Ovis aries: one gene and its partner. The main gene of each other region encodes a partner of the protein of the gene in region 2 in a complex. Links are inferred from orthologs where the notes say so. Each region holds a gene or a part of one and is shown on either strand. Other genes may lie near its edges. The genes, in order: EMD and BANF1.

Region 1 (9,433 bases), on a different chromosome or scaffold from region 2:
TCGGAGTGGTCCTAGATTGTGAAATGCTGTCTGCTACTTCCCCTAGACCTGGGGGCGGGGGGAGGGTGCGGCTGATGTCAAGGGTGGCATCAGGAGCTCCCCCTGCTTGCCATACCTCCCGGGCACTTCTCTCTGTGCTCCACCAGGGATGCTGCTCAGGCTGTCTGGCAGGGTCCCAAGCTACCAGCTCAGTTGCCTCATCCAGGGCCTCCTAGGCTCCTCCATGTCTGCCAACCACCACTACCATCCCCCGACTCCGCTCTGGTGGTACCTAAGATGGCAGGAGATGTCCTGCACGCTAGGAAGCTGCTGCCCCCTGCTGTGCTCCCAGTACCACTGCAGCCCATGGTCCAGGCAGGAGCCTGGAGGTTGGTCTCAGAGCCCTGGAAAGCCCTAGGTGGGGACTTGGAAGCCTGATGTTTCTTGGGGGCTCACGGAGCCCTCAAAAGCTTTTGGCTGGGGTGCCCAGAGCACTTGGAGGCATTCAGGCGCCCTTATGGGGGTCCAGGGCCTTGGAAGCAAGGCTAAGCCTGGCGGGAGTCTGGAGGGAGGTCCAGAGTCCTCAGGAGAGCTCTCTGGGAGGAGGGTATCTCAGTGCCCTGGAGCAGTGATTTTGAAGCAAGGCCCTCAGAAACCCTCCGTCTGGTGCATGGTGATCAATGGATGTCGTCACCCATGAGAAATAAAAGGGGGAGACTGTGTCACCTGGGAGGCAACTCTGTCTCCCTTCAGACACAGCAGTGGTTGCCAAGCACATCTAGCCTCCCCCTCGGCCCTGCAGATGGACGATCTGAAGCCCGGAGGGGACCATTCCGTGCAGAGGCCATGCCATCTCTCTCCCCTTCCTCCCTGCAATCCCTCCTCTCCACCAGGACCCCGTGGGTCTCCCGCTGCACAGCCACCCCCAGGAGGAGCACTTGAGATCACTTGCCGAAATGAGATGTTGCGCCATGCCCCTGTGGAGTTCTGATGCCCTGACGATGGGACTCCTTGTTCTCCCACCCTCCAGTTCACTAATTTGACCACCTGCCCCTGTGGTCACAGATGAGCAGGCCACACCTCTTGCCCATGCCCACCGCCCACCACGGAGCATCCGTGTCTCAGCTCTTGGTCTAGGATGGCATGAGACAGATGCTGGGGGCTCAGGGGTGTCCCGGCCACAGTGGACTGGGTGCCACAGGAGTCAGGTGGGAGTGCCTAGCAGCAAACGAGGGAGGCTGGGGCTCTGGGAGGGGTGAGAATATGAGAAGCCATTTCTTTTTGGTGTATTTGAAATGCACAAAGAAAGCCTGTTGGTTTTAGGAAAACGCCCACCCCATCCCACCCCATAAAAGTGCGGAGACTAGGATGCAGCAAAAAGAAGTGTCCAGAAGCTTTGGTAGAAAGGTTCCAGTCTGGCCCTGAGCAGAGCTTACCCAGCGGCCATAGACAGCGGAGAGCCCCAAGGCTCAGGAGCCCATGGTGCACGTGCAGGTGAGAGGGCAGGCCCTGCCAAGTCCTGCCACCTGTACGAAGGAGCCCGTCAGAGCTGAGATGCCAGGGTCCCACCCAATGGTGGCCCAGGGGGTGCCTTTGCTTCCCTTTTGTGTGCCTGTTTCTCCAGACTTTACTGCCCTCTACAGGCAGTGCGGAGCCCAGACGAACAGTGTGGCATTCTACCCCATGTTTCCTTAGCACTTGATGTTAAGTGAGTGAAAGTCGTTCAGTCGTGTCAGACTCTTAGCGACCCCATGGACTGTAGCCCGCCAGGCTCCTCTGTCCTTGGGATTCTCCAGGCAAGAATACTGGAGTAGGTTGCCATTTCTTTCTCCAACTCGATGTTAAAATCACATGTAAACTGTGAAAATTGTTAAATGCCCACAGCAGAAAACCTTGTGGTAATACCCAGGTGAGGAACTGGTTTACTAAAAGGAGATGAAACATTCCAGAGGACTGAGAGCCTTCCCCTGTCATTAGACAACCAGCCTTCCAGCAGCCCATCAAGCAGATGCCTCATTTCCTTCCCATCACTCTGCCCTTGGACACCACAGTTGGTGTCTGCTGGTCCCAGTTGAAACACCCAGAACTGACACGGTGCAAGCAGCCTCACCTGCGTTTCCCAGTGGGCTCTCTGTGTGACTATTTTTTATAAGCACTTACAAGAGCTTCTGGTAACATGTCAGGGAGCGGGCACCAAAAGCAAAACATAAATGAGTTTATGGGTTGCCTATGATCCCTATCTCAGGCTCAAAGGACGAAAGGATGAACTGACAAAGTTGGATGGCAATTCTGGAGACCCAAGGCCTGGAAGCCTTTAGCAGGGGGGCAGCCCAACCCCTCCCCATGTTAAAGAAAAGAACCCACACATTAAAAATAAATGGTCTTTTATTGTGTCCACGAAAACAAACTCAGGGTGGCCTTTGGTTAATCCCCCCATGAGGTGACGACAAATAGGAGGCATGCGATGACCAAAACCATGTTCTCCTCTCCAGGAGAAGGGTCTTGCCCTCCTAGGCCCGAAGGGTGACAGGCAAGCAGGGCCAGGAGGATCCAGAGGCAGGCCCACCCAGGTCCACCATGCCGCAGAGGGCCCAGGCCTGCTGCCTCCCTGGCAGGACAGGGCAGGGGTCAGCAAACATTGCCCATGTCCTGGTAACCCCAAGCTAGAACACACAGAAAAGCCCCAACCCCCCTCCCCCAACAAACACTGATAAGGCAGTCAGCCAGGGCTTCCAAGAGGAGCCGGCCTCCAAGGTACGAGGTCAGACCCTTAGGGCTCTGCCCAGAAAGGGTTGCCATCCTCGGCCTGCATGGAGTAGTAAACAAAGAGCAGGAAGGCAGCAAAGACCAGGAACAGCAGCACCTGGCCCCAGAGCGGGACCTGGCGATCCTGGCTCAGGCCGGCAGCCCCAGGGGCCTGCTTTTCAGGCCGGATGGCTCTGCGGGTGAGCCACGAAGGGGCCGAAGATGAAGATGAGGACACACTCGAGGTGGAGGAGGATGTGGGATAATAGGACAGGCCCAGGGAGCTTCTGGAGATGTTGGAAATAGGGCGGTAGTGTGCAATGTTCTGGTAGGCACTGTCCCGGCCATACAGGAGGCGTTCCCTGAGGCAAAGAGTGCAGTAGGTAGACCAGGAGGGCTTGAGTCCTGAATCAGCCCCAGCCCCTGGCTCGCCTTAATACTCACCGATCCTTGCCTTCCTCTTCCAAAGAGAAAAGATTGTCATCACGGACCTACAGAAGTGAATCAGAATGAGAATACCTATTGACAGGGTCGGTGTAGGTATGACAGGTCATACCCTCAGTCCAAACTGCCCTTCCCAGCCTGTTCTGAACACTGATTAAAGGCCTGGGCCCTGCCACCCTCCAGACCCCCTTCTTGGTCCTCAGCCTTATGTCTGCAGGGCCGTGCCACTTGTCCCGGCTGCCTGCATCCTACTTTCTGCCCCAGAATTCTCAAAAAGAGCTCAAACCTAGATCCCAGACCAGAGCCAGGGCACGTCCTGGGCACACTAGTCAAAACAGTTCTGACAGCCCCTTCCCCCACCCCAAAGGTCTTGACCAGGCAGGTGTCTGCAGGCCCCACCTCTCCCTGGAGGTTTCTGAGCCACCATTTGTGCCCAGTGGTTCCCTTGACTCATCCAAACCCCATGAGGACCCCCTCAGGTTGTACCCAAGTACAGGGTGCCCGACAACTCAGCTCACCTGGCGGTGAAAGGGGTCAGCATCTGAGAGTGAAGCTGAGGGCTGGCGGAAGCCCTTGGATGTGCCCATAGACTCAGGCTCCCCGTAAGTCCTGGTGGTCAAGTAACTCTCCTCATAGTAGTCATCATTATAGCCTTAGGAAGGGGGGGGCAGCGGTAGCAGAAGGGGCAACGGTGTCCCCACCTGGCCCGATGGCCCTAATCTGAATCCCATTGGGGGGGGGGGTGCTGCAGGGCTACTGCAGGACGCATGGGGTTGAGGTCTCAGGTTCTGGCTGACACTGGAAGGAAGGTGTCAGAGTGCCCACCCCACCCCTGCCTTACCCTTGCTCTGGTAAAGTAAGGCGTCCTCTTTCTTGGGCAGATCATACATATCCGAGTCCACGGACGCCGAATCTAAGTCTGAATGGGGGAGGGGCTAGGACCATTGGCCCACAGGGGTCCCCTCCCGTTTCCCCCGCGCCCCTTCCAGCCAGTGCCCTGGCCACACCCCCGCGACCCCTTCCTCAGCGTCCCCCAAACCGTGTCCCCAAGGGCGGCCAGGCGGGGCCCTGGGACGGGAGCCTCACCCGAGAACCGATAGGAGAAAGAGGATGCGGACGAGCTCGGGGGCGAGAGCCTCCGCCTCTGGGTCTCATACTCGAAGATTTTCTTTTCGTAGAGCTTGCGAGTGGAACCTGATCAGACGCGGGGCACAGGGCGGTCAGGGAGCGGGCCGAGAGGGGGCCGCGGGGCTAAGCGCGGGGAGCGGGCCCGCCCTCCGTCCACCGCGTACCGACGACGGGCCCGTGTGGGATGTTGTACTGGCGCAGCACGGCGGCCAGCTCGGAGTCCGAGAGGACTGCGTAGTCGTCCATGGCGGGCAGCGGGCGGCGGAGGCCTGGGGGAGGCCTGGGCCTTGCAACACCGGCCGAGAGACGATGGCCTCGGAGCGCGGCAGGGGAAACAGGAGTGCCTCGGGAGCGGCTACGCGCGCGTCACGCCCGCGTCACAGTCTCGGTCTCCGCGGGCAGCGCGCGCTGTGCGGAGCGGGGCCGGGCCTCGCAGAGAGCTGCCAGCGCAGATTGGTGGAGCCTCGCGAATGGGCGGGGAGGGGCGGGGCTCCCGAGCCCAGAGACGTCACACGCTGGCGCATTTAGGGCTGGACCCCAGCGAGGGGGCGGGGCCTGGGCGCGACGGGAACTAGCTTAGACCCGCCCCGGCTTGGGAGCGGGGCGGGGCCCGCGAGCCGCGACGTCACCCGCTCGGCTATTTGGGTCAGAAGGGTGGAGGGGCGGGGCCTGTGGCCATGCAACCGGCAGAAACTGGGCAGGATGCGGGAGCTGGGCGGGGCTGCGCGCTGGGCGGGGCTCGCCCTCCCTGAGTCACGTGGAGTCCGCTCGGTCTCAACTGCCCCTCTGCTCCAGCAATTGCGGGTCCCTGGCCGCGCCCCAGGCGGGCGCGTCGCCGGCGGCTGCGAGAAGGGGCCTGATCCGAAGGGGCAAGCCCTTGGAGAGCACGGGTCCAGACTAGGCGCTGCTGCACGCGCAGTGCGCGCGCGCGCCACACCAAGGAAGCCTGTAGCCACCTGACCATAAACCGCCCCCCAGAGCCCCAGACCCCCTGCCCCAGCACGCCTTCCCGCTCTGCAGGATCCTGGCCTGCGCCCGCCGGTTCCCACCGCCTCCCTCCCTCCCCTTGCACCCCAGAGGAAATGGGGCACTGGGCCAGGAGGCCACCGGCCCTCCAGGAGCCAGCAGCCTTGGAAGGGGCCCGGGCATGCCAATGGGCACTGGCATGGGGCGCCCTGTGATGCCGAGATGGCGGGTGTCTGCCTCACCCACCGGCAGTGCACCAGAGGCGCGAGGGGCTTCCCCACCGTGGCTGGGATGGCCCCTGAGCCCAGCGTGACCCAGGAGGCTGCCAGAGGGACCTGCCCCAGGCTTCCGATAATGCACTCTGAGCACCTGGGTCTCAGTGGGCTTCAGGGTCGTGGGAGTGCAGAGGGAGCCTCCCAGACAGGGGGGCCAGGGGACTGAGGGGGGCAAACCATGGAAGGCAGCCAGGGCCTGTCACAGGGAGTTGGTGAGAGCCTTGGTCAGGAAGAGCTGTCCCATGAAAATTAGGAAGAAGATGACAGTGACATTCTAACAAAGCCAGCCAATGGAATGAGGGGAAACTTAAGTGCCTCTCCCGGAACTGAGATGAAGGCTGGCAGACTGGCCCAGTTGGTGAGGGTCACAGCCTCGGTCTCAGCAAAAGTTCCTTCATGGGGTGGAGAGAAGATAGGGCCCTGGTTTAACCACATACGAAGCCCCTCCTCAAGGTTGCTGTTGGCCAGGTTTTAGAAATGAGGCTTTCTCCATCTCCCAAAATATGAGGGCCCCACGCATGCATGGTCGGATGAGGGGCAGCGCCCCCAGGCAGGGCAAGGGTCTTGCTGCTTATCTCTGAGCAGGGAGGGAGATGGCATTTGGGCTCTGGGCTCCTCAGAGCCGGCTTCACGGAATTTGGAGTTTGGGCCAGATCAGATTCCCCAGCACCTCTCTAAGCCTTCTTTTGCAGTGCTGGCCCCTGTCCCGGAGGCCAGCCTCCCCTTGCCAACCCCCGCCCCATACAGACCCAAGCCGTTTCCTTATGAGGTCAAGGAATTCTAAGTTTGCCTTCTCCTCTGGGAGCACCCCCTCCCCGGCACCTGCCTTGGCCCTTTGCCTTTTATTTCCCTCTCCCCCAGTTGCCCCACTATGAGGTCCCACCACAGATGGCACCACATGGCTGACCTGTGATGGTCTCCTGCACATGAGCCCACCTGGAGCCCCAAGCCAGCCCCACTGCAGGCAGACCTGTCTCAAACCACTAGAAACCAGGCAAGCCCTTGACCATCAGAGCTGAGAGGCCCTTGGCACTGCCACAATGACATCGAGGAGGAATTAAGGGCCCAGAGAAGGAGGGGACTTATACAGGGGCACCCAGGGCAACAATTCATTCATGGATGTTCCCCTAGCCAGTACCTAGCCCTCGGGGTCATAACCTGGACAGCGTGGCCCACTGGGGATTCCGAGTCAGCAGAGGAGCTGTTAGTGGAAATCTGGGGCCTTGAGGGGAGTCTTCCTGGGAAGAGTGGGCAGAGTTAAAAGCAAGCATTTCTTTGGAACTTTGGCTGAGGCGAAAAGGGCTTGGAAGCCACTGATTCCAAGTCAGTAACAAGACAGTTTCACCTTTAAGGACTAGGATTCTAAGCAATAGATTATGTAACTTGTGATCCTAGCAACATCAAAAAATGTAAGGAAAAGTAATATCAACATGAATACATTTTTCAACAGGTCCAAGGAGACATTCACTGAGTGATTAATGTTTTAAGATCAGAACCTGAATCCTTTGGTACAATACAAAGCTTACTTTTTCCCTTTAAGGATGTTAAAGATCCTCTGGGTTTGGCCTAGCAGTCGAATGCTTTAAAACATGGCTCAGATGGTAACAAAAGTTGTAAGATGGTGACTAGTGTGAAAATGACCGTTTGGAAGGTTGTCACAATCAATATATAGCAGGGAATGGTTAGCTGACCAAAAACCTCTCAGGTGACACCTTGTGTTCCAGTCCTAGGACACGTCAGTCTGCCTTGGGACAGTCGGCATGGCAGCAGGAATGGAGCTGCTTCTAGTGCTTTTGTGGAACCTTCAACACAAGGTGATGGTTTAGTCGCTAAGTCCTGTCCGACTCTTGAACCCCATGGACTGTAGCCCACCAGGCTCCTCTGTCCATGGGATTTTCCAGGCAAGAGTACTGGAGTGGATTGTCATTTCCTTCTCCATCAACACAAGGAGCAAAAGCCTTTGTTAAAATCTTTTACCAGGGAAGAGCTGGTGCTATATAAACCTTCATTCCCCCCAGACCTGGAAAAGTAGAGACCCTGAGTTGCATGTGTCTCAGGGGTGTGGAGGGAGGGGAGAGAGAGAGTAAAGAGAGGATTAAAACGGAGGTGGGGGGTCCTGAGATCCAGCCATGAAGCCATCACTTCCTTTCTGCTACCCCAGCTATTGTACACTGATTCCCATTGCAATGCCTCTGGCAGGTGGGTGTCCCTCCTTGAAGGATAGCCTTGGCCATGAGCTACCTTGTGGACCTAAACTGAGACTGCTCATCTATCAAGGGAGGATAACCCACTGCCGTGAGGGGCGGAGGGGTGGATCCCACTAGATGGGGCGGGGAGAAACAGAGACCGAGGCCACTGCTAGGCGATCTCACCTGGGGTCAAGGTGGAGAGGTCATTGCCAACAAAGGCAGCAGTGGCTGCGGAGAGGCCTGGAGGGCAATCAGTGCCTTCCTGTTAGTGTGCAGCTGTAGATATCAAACTACGTTAGCAGGTGACAGCAGACTTCTCCTTTCTTCCCCCCTGTTCCTTCCTGCTTCTCCCCTTTTGCCTCCCTCCCTCCCTTCTTTTTGGAGAAGGAAATGGCAACCCACTCCAGTGTTCTTGCCTGGAGAATCCCAGGGACGGCGGAGCCTGGTGGGCTGCTGTCTATGGGGTCACACAGAATCAGACACGACTGAAGCGACTTAGCAGCAGCAGCAGCTCCCTTCTTTGCTTTTTCTCCTTTAATGAAGTAGAATAAAAGAAGAAAGATCAGAGTGCTTTTCAGGTGGTAAGGGACAGTCTCACTTCGTGGAACGTTTATTTCAGCCATTTGTGTCGATCTGCGTGTGTGCCTGCAAATATTGGCTCAGGATGTAAGATGCAGTTCTTTGTGGGGGTTGTGGGCACAGTGAGAAGACACTGCTTTGTGTGGCTTTCCCCGAGGAAGTGACATTTGAGCTGAATACGACGCTGTTAATACCAGGAAATGGGCACACAGAAGACGAAGAGGGAGCCTGGCAGTGCCAGGGTGTGGCTGTGCCCACCTAGTTCCCCAGACGCTTGGCTCCTCGGCTGCACCCCACTGTCCATGCCCAGGCCTCAGGACTGCAGCTAACTGTGCTGCTGAGAATTCAGTCCACTTCTGTTGCTTGCTTCCAGGCCAGGCCTGGCACTGGGCAGGGGCCAAACCCATGCCAGCCCGGGATGTTGTTTGGCTTGTCTTGGGGCTCAGGTCCCTGCCCCCGTGCAGACTTTCAGGTGGGAGGCTCTCAGTGCATACCTGCTAGAGCCTGTTGCACTTCCCCCTCCAAGGTAGAATCCAACTAGTCCGACCAGCCCCAGGCTTGGGGTAAAGGTAGGGGGGCGGCGCAAGACTGGGCAGCTCCCTGGAGGAGGTGGCCTTCGTTGCTGGGCCGAGACGCAGGCTCTGCAGACCCTCCGGGCCGCCCCTCCCCGTCAGCAGAGGGTGAGCTCATCTCAACGGGGGTAGGGGGGCGTCGCCGGCTGCCCAGGCGCCTGAGCTCACGGCGCGCCCCCGCGGGGCCCCCCCTCGAAACCCCCCCCCCGCCCCGCTCCTGGGTGATTTTTACCAATTAAGGCTTTCTCGTCGGGCCGAGTCGGGCCGGGTGCGGGGCGGGGGTGCGGCCAACAAGAAGGCGGGCGGCAGCGGCCCATTCGCGTGGAGGCGCCCGGCGCGCAGCAGACGCCAGCAGAGCCCCGAGGCGCCAGGCGCGGGCTCGAAGATCTGCCAGGCGCCACCCCGCGGCCGCCGGCCGCCCGCAGGGAGAGAAGGTGAGGCGTCCGCGGCGGGCACCGGGCGGAGCGGTTGGCGGGCACCGAGCAGAGTGGTCGGCGGGCAGCTCACGGAGTTGGTGGTGGGGTGCCCGGGGCCAGCTGCAAGCCGGGGTGTGGTG
Region 2 (9,057 bases):
GGCCGCCTGCGCCGCCTTCTGCACCTGCGGGTCGCTGGGCGACAGCTCCTGCAGTTCTCCGACCTTGCGGTCCCCCGGCCGGGCCCGGGCGTCGCGGGGCAGCACCAGGAGGCAGAGTGCGAGCAAGGCCAGGGCCATCGGCAGCAGGAGGCTAGGACGCGCCATGGCCATCGGTGTCGGTATCTGACCGCGGCCGGCGCCGCTTTTATGGGCTCCTCGGCCCCGCCTGGCCCCGCCCGCCGCTCGCCGCGCGCCCCCGCAGGCGGGGAGGGATCCACCCAGCCTGGTTGGTCCACACGTGAGGCCGCCTGCGGGGTGCCGAGGAGGACAGCGGGCAGGCCCGAGCACACCTGGGCATCACCACCACGCTGCTTGCCCTCCAGGCACACCTGGTTGGGGAGGGCAAGGACTGCGACAGCTCCTAGCCACAAGTGCCACCACAGGGGCAGTTCACAGAGACCCATCCCATATGAGAAACCCACAACAGCTACTAGCAAGCTCTTAACTATCTCCAATGGTAGTCTTGGAGAAGTTACTTAACCCTCATTGCCTCAGTTTCCTCCTCTGTGAAATGGGTTGCTTCGAGGGTTCAATAAGTGCTTAGGGGAGGCCAGGTGCTATATAAACAGCAGGTAAGCAGGAGTCCTTACTGCCCTGAGCCGGGCACTGTTTAACCCTCATGACCAGCATGAGGTAGGGATCAGTGAGCAAGGGTTCCATTTTACAGAGGAGTAAACAGGACACAGAGTAAACAACTGATTTTGCCCAAGAACACAGGCTGGTAACTAGTAAATGGTGACACTGGCTTTTGAGCCCAGGCAGGCGCTGGTCGTATAGGATCCGCCTGCCAACGCAGGAGACGTAAGAGATGAAAGTTCAATCCCTGGGTCGGGAAGATCCCCTGGAATATGAAATGGCAACCCGCTCCAGTATTCTTGCCAGGAAAATCCCATGGACAGAGGAGGCTGGCGGGCTACAGTCCGTGGGGTCACATAGAGCTGGACACGACTGAGCGCACGCGCGCGCGCGCACACACACACACACACACACACACACACACGAGACACAGTCTAACTTAAATCTGTGTTCTCAGTCCAGAGGGAGCCCAAAAGATAGCTGGCCAGGAGTGTGGGTGGTCCCAGCTCTGCCATTTACTGCCTGGGGGCCTTCCAGCAAGCCCTTTGACCTCTGGGAGCCTCAGTCCTCACCTGAAGAAAGGTGACAACTCTTGTCTTCTAAGGTCTTGCTAATTATAAGGGCCTGAAACTGGGTCACTCATAGGTAAACTGGGCATATGTTGGAAGTACCAGCAAAACAAGGCTGTGATTTTTAACTTTTTGGCCACACCCTGCATGTGGGATCTTATTTACCAGACCAGGGATAGAATGCACATCTCCCTTTGGAAGGGCGTCTTAACCACTGGACCGAGATGGCGGAGGAATAGGACAGGGAGACCACTTTCTCCCCCACAAATTCATCGAAAGAACACTTGAGCATCGAGCAAATTCCACAGATGCTAGCAGAGGACATTAGGCACCCAGAAAAACCACTAGACCAGTAGGAAAGTCCCAGGGCTATGATTTCTGGGGGGAATAATCTGACACAATATAAAAAGCAGCACTGAAGTAGTCAACACAGGAAAAGTTTGACATGTTTTAGAATTTTCTACAATTAATGTTTTAAGAATTTAGGGTGCGTGCTTAGTGGCTTCAGACTTTTGAGATCCTATGGACTGTAGCCCACCAGGCTCCTCTGTCCATGGGATTCTCCAGCCAAGAATTCTGGAATGGGTTGCTATGCCCCTCTCCAGAGGATCTTCCCAAGCCAGGGATCAAACCAGCATCTCCTGCGTCTCCTTTATTGTAGGCAGATTCTTTACCGCTGAGCTACTGGGGAAGCCAAGTGCAAGGCAGTTTGTACTTTTAATCACTTGTTGTGGTGGGGAGGGTGTTTTTTGCTCTGGGGACACCAATCTTTAGTGCTTCAGGGCTGCTGAGGATCTTACCTGGGGCTTGGGAGGGGTGGTGGTTTTCAGTAAGCAACAAAGTGTTGGGGCTTAATAAGTGGCAGCTATTATTGTGATGAATATTATGAGTAAGCATCCAAGATTCCCTGATCCCAACCCCAATTCCCAGACCCTCAGAATCCCGAGGTCAGGAAAGGCAGGGATTTCTCCCAGGGAGACCAGGACCAGCATGTAGTCACTGCCCAGTCCAGATGCTGCCCCACACCCTCAGCACAGCTGTGAAAAACAATCTTGGGATGCCAAGGAATAGTCACAAGTTTGTTGTGGGCTCAGGTGTCTGCCTTAAAGGGACAGACCACTTATGGAGTCCAAGCTCCCTCTGCTCGCCACATGACAGGCCAGTGAATCCCAGAGACAAGGTGCTGAGGCAAGGGATACAACTGTATTTGGAGAGCTGGCTGACGGAGAAGATGGCAGACTAATGTCTCAAAATGACCATGCTGTTGGGGTCTGGATGCCAGGCTCGTTTATAGAACCTGAGGGAGAAGCAATGAGGAACTAAAAAGTCAAAAGGCCCAGCAGAGAGAGGAGGTAAAGTAAAAAGGGCTTTCAGTCTTGCAAAACATCTCCAGGAGGGCCAGCATTCGGAAGGGACGTGTTAATCCCCTTTTTGTAGTCATTCACAGAGGGACAGAGTCAGATTCTCTATGAGCTGAACAAAGGCACTTTAGTTTCACAGTCAGAGGGCCAGGGTCCTTTGAGGCAGACCATTATGTCCTGGCTTCCCAGGTGGCTCTGACAGTAAAGAATTCACCTACAATGCAGAAGCCTGGCGTTCAATTCCTGGATCAGGAAGATCCCCCAGAGAAGGGAATGGCTATCCATTCCAGTATTCTTGCCTGGAGAATTCCCTGGGCAGAAGAGCCTGGTGGGCTAAAGTTCAGGGGGTCGCAAAGAGTCAGACATGACTCAGTGACTAACACAACACATAAGAACAGCAGGAAGAGTCTAAAAAACAGTTCCAATGTGGAGTGAAAACTGGTTCTTCTCTGCAACAGACCCATTTGTGCAAGAGCTGGGGAGAGCTTGGCTTGATGAGGAGGCCAAGGCCAGGCAGGAGCCAGGCCAAGAGAGCCTGGCCATGGGGGAGTAAGAGGCCCAGGCTGCAGCACACGCTGGGAGAGGTGGGGAGGCAGCCCAAGCGGCCAGGCACCTCCTTGGGTTCCTCTAGGCCTGCGCTCCTGCCACTGGGAACTCAGCTGCAGCTGCACTTAAATCTGCACCAGCTCCCCGGGAAGCTAGCCAAGGGCCAGTGTCCCCAGCTCACTTGTCCCTACCCTGCCATTCCTTTGTGCTGACACCAACAAATCTTTTGCACACCAACCTAACAATTTCCAAAGACTTTTCACCAGCTGGTCTATTCTCACAAACACCCGAGTTAGTAAGTACCATCATTTTGCAGGTGAATACAGTTGTTCAGAGGTCAGGACAGCCGAAGACCCTGGACCCAAGCAGAGTAACATTAGAAACATAGTACGGCCTGAAACTCCAGGGACAGTCCCCATGACTACCTTTCTGGGCTTCAGACTGGCACCCTCCAAGGAAGCAGCCTGTAACACGAGCTGGGCCCAGCTCTGGCCACCTGGTGATCTTCCAGGGGCCTCTCACACTTCCAAGACCCAGGCTTACACTGAACCTTCATCCCTACTAATAACCATCATAATCTCTGGCTAATTACCTAACTGCTCTATCCTTGGGTCTTTATTTTTGTTCTCCCTTTTATCTTCTACTGTTCTGAGATGTATCTAACAGACAGAAAAGTACAGAGTGTCTTGGATCACCACCATACAGGTCAAGAAGTGGAAACTGCCACTCGCAGCCCCCTATGCTCCCATGCATCACACCTGTCTCTTTCCCCCAAAGGCAATCACTCCCCACTTCTCTTTACCAATGACTTTTGCAATAATCTTCCCTGGGGCTCAGACAGTAAAGAGTCTGCCTGCAGTGCGGGAGCCAGGTTCGATCCCTAGGTCGGGAAGATCCCCTGGAAAATGAAATGGCAACCCACTCCAGTATCCTTGCCTGTAAAGTCCCATGGAGGAGCAGTCTGGCAGGCTACAGTCCATTGAGGTCACAAAGAATTGGACACAACTCAGTGATTTCATTTTCTCTGGCAAAAAGCATTTTTTCCCCTTCTAGTTTTACTGCCTCTGCAAAGAGCCCCCATGCGGATCCAGCTGGGAGCCCCTGTGAAGGAACAAAGCCGCTGTGAACATCCGCTCAGGCGCTGACGCAGGTGTGCTTTGCGTCCTGTCCCGTCCCTGGCGAGGAACTGCTGGCTCACAGGGTGGGTCTTCAGTTTTACTGGCAAACACCCAACTGCTTTCCCCAATTGTTCACACCAATTTACACTCCCACTAGTTGGATATCTGTTCCTGTTGCTCCATTTCTTCATCAGAACTTGGTATTGTCTGACTTAAATTTTTTTGCCAATCCTGTGAGTGTATAATGGCATCTTATTTGCGTTTCTGCCGGACTTAATCTGACCGAACACCTTCTGACATGCTTATTCACCACTCAGGTATTCCTCTGTGGCTGCCCTCCAGGTCTTTCACCCATTTTTCTATTGTATTGTCTGCTCTCTCTCGACTGCAGCTCTGGAGTCCTGTGTCATCTATGTGGGTCGCAAATATCCTTCCTCACCCTGGGTTAGGCTCCTCACTCACTCTGATTATCCTGAACAAAATTTCTATGATGGAGTTGAATCTATCAGCTTTTTAATCTTTCCCTATTCTGAAATCATGAAAATCTACTCACGCTATCGAAGTGTTTCTATTTATGATGTCATTTCTCCCCTCACCAGACTTCAAGCCCTGAGGACAAGGAAAATTCTATAAATAAGTAGCTCCTGAACACGACCAGCACTGCATCTGATCCTTACAACAATTTCATTTTCCAGGTGGGGAAATTGAGTCTGAGAGAGACCAAGAGCCGTGAGCAAACACCACCCATGGCTCTCAGGTCCATGGGTTTCCATGTGATGTTTTGAGGACCAGTCTGGCTACTTCCCAGTAGTAAGTCCATGGAGTCAGCCTGACCCTCTAGTTTCATCTGTGGAAAACAAAACTAACACTTATTATGAATGAAAAAAAAATGTTTACACAAACCTTAGCTCTGAACCTGGTTCATAGTAAGTCCGATAAACAGATGATGAAGATATACCAAATACAAGTGTAACTCACTCAAGCCTGCCCACCCAGTTGGGTTGCCCACACACTTTCTGCCTCCCTGAGAACAGGGCGGACTGCATGAGCCCCGCCCACTCATCCCAGAGACCAGGAGAACACATGACCAATGGCAGGTAGACCTCAGTCCACATCCCATCCACCCTTTTCCTGCTCTGACTCCCTCGGACTTTCCACCAGGTGCTGACTAACCCAGCTGTTGACCACACGGATGTCTGGATCCCAGGAAGGAACCAACCCACTCACTCTCCCACGTTGGTGAGGGATTGAGACACTTCAAGGCACCTGCCCAAGGCCCGTATTGCCAGGATGGCCGCCCTTGGGAGTGTGAGGGAAGCTGCCAGTTTCGATCTGCACTGATAAGCAGTGTGGCAAACCTGGTCAGTCCCTGGGGAACAGGCAACTCCCAGCCTGCCTGCTTCCCACATACAAAGCCCAGTCATGAAGGCCACTGGCTTTATTGATTTATAAAACTTTACAAGGACAGTGACTGTTCTGCCAAAAAGACTACCAAATGGCATAAAAGAGACCACAGGTGGGGGTGGGGGTGAGGGACAGGGCCAGGAATCCACTCAGAAAAGCTGGTAATTATTGTCACGAAACTGGCAGGGAAAGGAAAAGGAAAATGCATGCAAGGGTGAGAATTCCAAAAAAGTTGAAACGGTGAGGGGAGAGAACTCCCCAAAGGCCCTGGAGTACATGGGAGGTGTGCACAACAGCAATCTCTTCTTTTGTAGAGGACGGAGGAGGAGTCCTCACTAGGCTGCAAACTCTGGAGACTCAATGCTGGGGCTTGGGATCGGGGGCTCCCCAGAGAGCATCACAAGAAGGCATCACACCACTCTCGAAGGCAGCCAAAGCAGTCCCGGGACTGCTTGGCATTGGCGCCACACGTGTCCTTCAGCCATTCCCGGAAGAGGTCTTCATCTTTCTTTAGGACCAGAAACTGGCCGAGGACCACATAGGCCTGCAAAACGGGCAAAGCAAAAGATGGGCTGCCGAGTGCTGTGTAGGACTAAGAACAAGACGACCACTTCCTGGGACTTCCCTGCTGGTCCAGTGGTGAATAATCTGTCTTGCAATTCAGGGGACATGAGTTCAATCCCTGGCCCGGAATCTACAATCCTACTTGCTGTGGGGCAACTAAGCCCGTGGGTTCTGGAGCCTGTGAGTCACAATGAAAGATCCTGCAAGCTGCAACTAAGACCCCAGGGCAAACAGAAACAAATAAACATCACGGGGGAAAAAAGGGCCACTTTCCTGTGGCTCCCCACACATGAGCCCAAGAGGCAGGGTGGGTTCTGCCCGGCTGACTCTGCCGATCACACAGGAGCGTCCACTCCCCAACAGATACACACACCCTCCTCACTCCCCAGCTGCCGGGAAATGCTGTTGTCGCGCCTCGCCCCCCTCCCAACTACAGGCAGCCACTCCACACCTTATCAAAGCCCCTTTCCTCCAGTTTCTTGCCCAGGACTTCGCCAATCCCGGCCAGGCTTCCCACTGGCTTCTCCCCCATGGGCTCTGCCACGAAGTCTCGGTGCTTTTGGGAGGTTGTCATCTCGATCAAGCTTAATCTGGGAATCCCAAGAAGAGGGAAATTAGGGCTGAAAACCAGGGAACGCCCGAAAACCCACTGGCAATCTCACAGGAAGAGAATGCCAAAGCAGCTGTTATGGGGGCTTTCTCGATTCCCCCCACTTCACAGATGAGAAAACTGAGGTCCACGCACAGTCTTTTCCTCACTGTTTAAGAGCTTAGTCTCGCCCAGTCCCTGCGGGAGCTGGGTTTTGGTACCGCCCCCGAGGAGAAACTATCTTGCCCTAACAGGCGGCGCAAGCAGGACAAAGGTAAGATTTCCACAGTACCCAGGGCCCGCCCTGAAAGTGTCAACCCTCTGTGACCTTGGCTGGGCAAAAGCAGCACTGACTCGGGTCTGGAATGGCCACTTGGCCCGAAAAGCAAACGGCGGGCCCTGACCCCGCCGCCGCCGCACAGGCTGCTCATTGAGCGAAGGCGCAGCCCGAGCGCGCACACCCGCGCTGCCAGCAGCGTCAGCGCCACACCTGGACGCCCGCCGCGCCCTACGCCGTGGACCCCGCCCCCAACGCGCCGCGCCCCGCCCCTCCCAGCGCCTCGCCGAGCCCTCTCGGAGGGCGCATCGTCTGGCCCGTCTCAGCCCTTGCGGGCCCTCTCCTCCCTGCCTCCCCCTCCTCCCCGCGCCCGTTCTGGCCTCCAGCCCGAGCCCTGTTCCGCGGCTCGCGCTCACCCGCAGCTCCAGTTCCTGTAACGGCTTCTCCCGCCACCCGGCTGCTCCCGCCGCTACCTCAGCCCACTAGAACTTTCTTCCACTTCCGCTTCCGGGTCGCCTCAAGGGGGGGGCCTTTAAAAAAAAAAAACAAAACTACATTGGGCACTTCTAGCCGCTTAGGGTCATAGAGTTGCGACACCACCCAGACCTCGAGAGCGCCCTTAGTAGGAGTTCATTTCCGGTTGCTTCGGAGGAAGCCGGGCTGCCTTTTGTAGTCTTGCTTCTTGGGAAGCATTTCCGGCCTCAGGGAACAGAAACCTGTGAGAAGAAAACTTTATTTATCTGCTGCACGGCATGCGGAACTTAGCCACTTAACCTTGGCCGACCTGGTGGTGGGAAAAATTAGAGAGACGGACAAGGGGAAAGGCGTGACCAGGAGACTTCCGGGAGAGCGCCGGAAGTACGGTGTCCGACTCAGGCCGACAGGCGTTGTCCTCCTCCCTGTCGGACTTATTAGAGTCGGACGGGAACCGGATGAGCCCCAGACCTGAGTCCAAACCGACTCCAAACGTTGTGACCACCGGCGAGTCCTTTTTCTCTGCTTTCGTTGCCTCAGCTCTGAAGTGAGTCGTGGATGAGGCGATCTCAGCGTTCTGCCTGGAGAACCGGGTCGTTCTGGCAGCTCTCGTGGGATCCGAGGGCCAGAGAGTAAGTTTGGATCTTTCCCTCTGAGCATCTTTCCATCGAGATAGGAAAGGAGGAGGGCAGGGGACGGCAACTAGAGATGACACTTCGGAGTTTCCTTTGGAAACCATCATGACTTTGAACAAACTCGGGGAAATAGTTAAGGACCGGGAAGCCTGGCGTGCTGCAGTCCATGGGGTCGCAAGAGTCGGATACGACTTAGCGACTGAACAACAGTCTTCTGAGTACGCATCAGTCGTTGTCTTGCAGTACCAGGGTCAGAAACAGCAGATGCCAAAGATCAAATCGGTCTCAATTAAGTTCAGTCGCTCAGTCGTGTCTGACTCTTTGTGACCCCATGGACTGCAGAACGCCAGGCTTCCCTGTCCATCACCAACTCCCGGAGCTTGCTCAACCTCATGTCCATTGAGTCGGTGATGCCATCCAACCATCTCATCCTTTGTCGTCCCCCTCTCCTCCTGACTTCGGTCTTTCCCAGCATCAGGGTCTTTTCCAGTGAGTCAGTTCTTCGCATCAGATGGCCAAAGTATTGGAGTTTCAGCTTCAGCATCAGCCCTTCTAATGAATATTCAGAACTGATTTCCTTTAGGATGGACTGGTTGGATCTCCTTGCTGCCCAAAAGACTCTCAAGAGTCTTCTCCAACACCACAGTTCAAAAGCATCAATTTAGTCTACCTTGCCCTTAAATTAGCTCATTCCTGACCTGGCTTGTGGTAGCTGGTCTGTGTCTGTAGGGTACTGAGAGACTGAACATCTGTGTGGTTGTGTCACACCTGAGATGTACAAGCAGGTTAAGGAAGAAGTGACTTATCTTGCCTCTTCTCCAAGTGGTTTCCAGAATGGCTTATTTTTCTAAAACATGTATTTAGTTTTTATGGTTATACCAGTA

Evidence for each region.
Region 1: the proteins of BANF1 (region 2) and EMD are in contact, whole or in part, in a crystal structure (PDB 7NDY), measured with the Homo sapiens proteins. The link is inferred for Ovis aries from reciprocal best matches to the Homo sapiens genes BANF1 and EMD. Residues at the interface, in NP_001137457.1 of Homo sapiens: Arg37, Phe39, Gln48, Val51, Leu52, Lys53, Asp55, Leu58, Glu61, Trp62, Asp65; in NP_000108.1 of Homo sapiens: Pro22, His23, Gly24, Pro25, Val27, Ser29, Thr30, Arg32, Leu33, Tyr34, Lys36, Lys37, Glu40.

What each region holds. Positions count from the first base shown.
Region 1 is NC_056080.1:80,068,643-80,078,075, forward strand, and holds EMD (emerin), read right to left. Parts: upstream 4,667-9,433; 5' UTR 4,543-4,666; coding exon 4,461-4,542; intron 4,363-4,460; coding exon 4,255-4,362; intron 4,088-4,254; coding exon 4,010-4,087; intron 3,821-4,009; coding exon 3,687-3,820; intron 3,216-3,686; coding exon 3,169-3,215; intron 3,087-3,168; coding exon 2,750-3,086; 3' UTR 2,347-2,749; downstream 1-2,346. UniProt on the Homo sapiens protein: Stabilizes and promotes the formation of a nuclear actin cortical network. Stimulates actin polymerization in vitro by binding and stabilizing the pointed end of growing filaments. Inhibits beta-catenin activity by preventing its accumulation in the nucleus.
Region 2 is NC_056074.1:40,527,808-40,536,864, reverse strand, and holds BANF1 (barrier-to-autointegration factor), read right to left. Parts: upstream 7,559-9,057; 5' UTR 7,481-7,558; intron 6,789-7,480; 5' UTR 6,773-6,788; coding exon 6,650-6,772; exon of another isoform or gene 6,179-6,649; coding exon 6,032-6,178; 3' UTR 5,654-6,031; downstream 1-5,653. Other genes in the region: CST6 (cystatin-M), read right to left, coding at 1-171. UniProt on the Homo sapiens protein: Non-specific DNA-binding protein that plays key roles in mitotic nuclear reassembly, chromatin organization, DNA damage response, gene expression and intrinsic immunity against foreign DNA.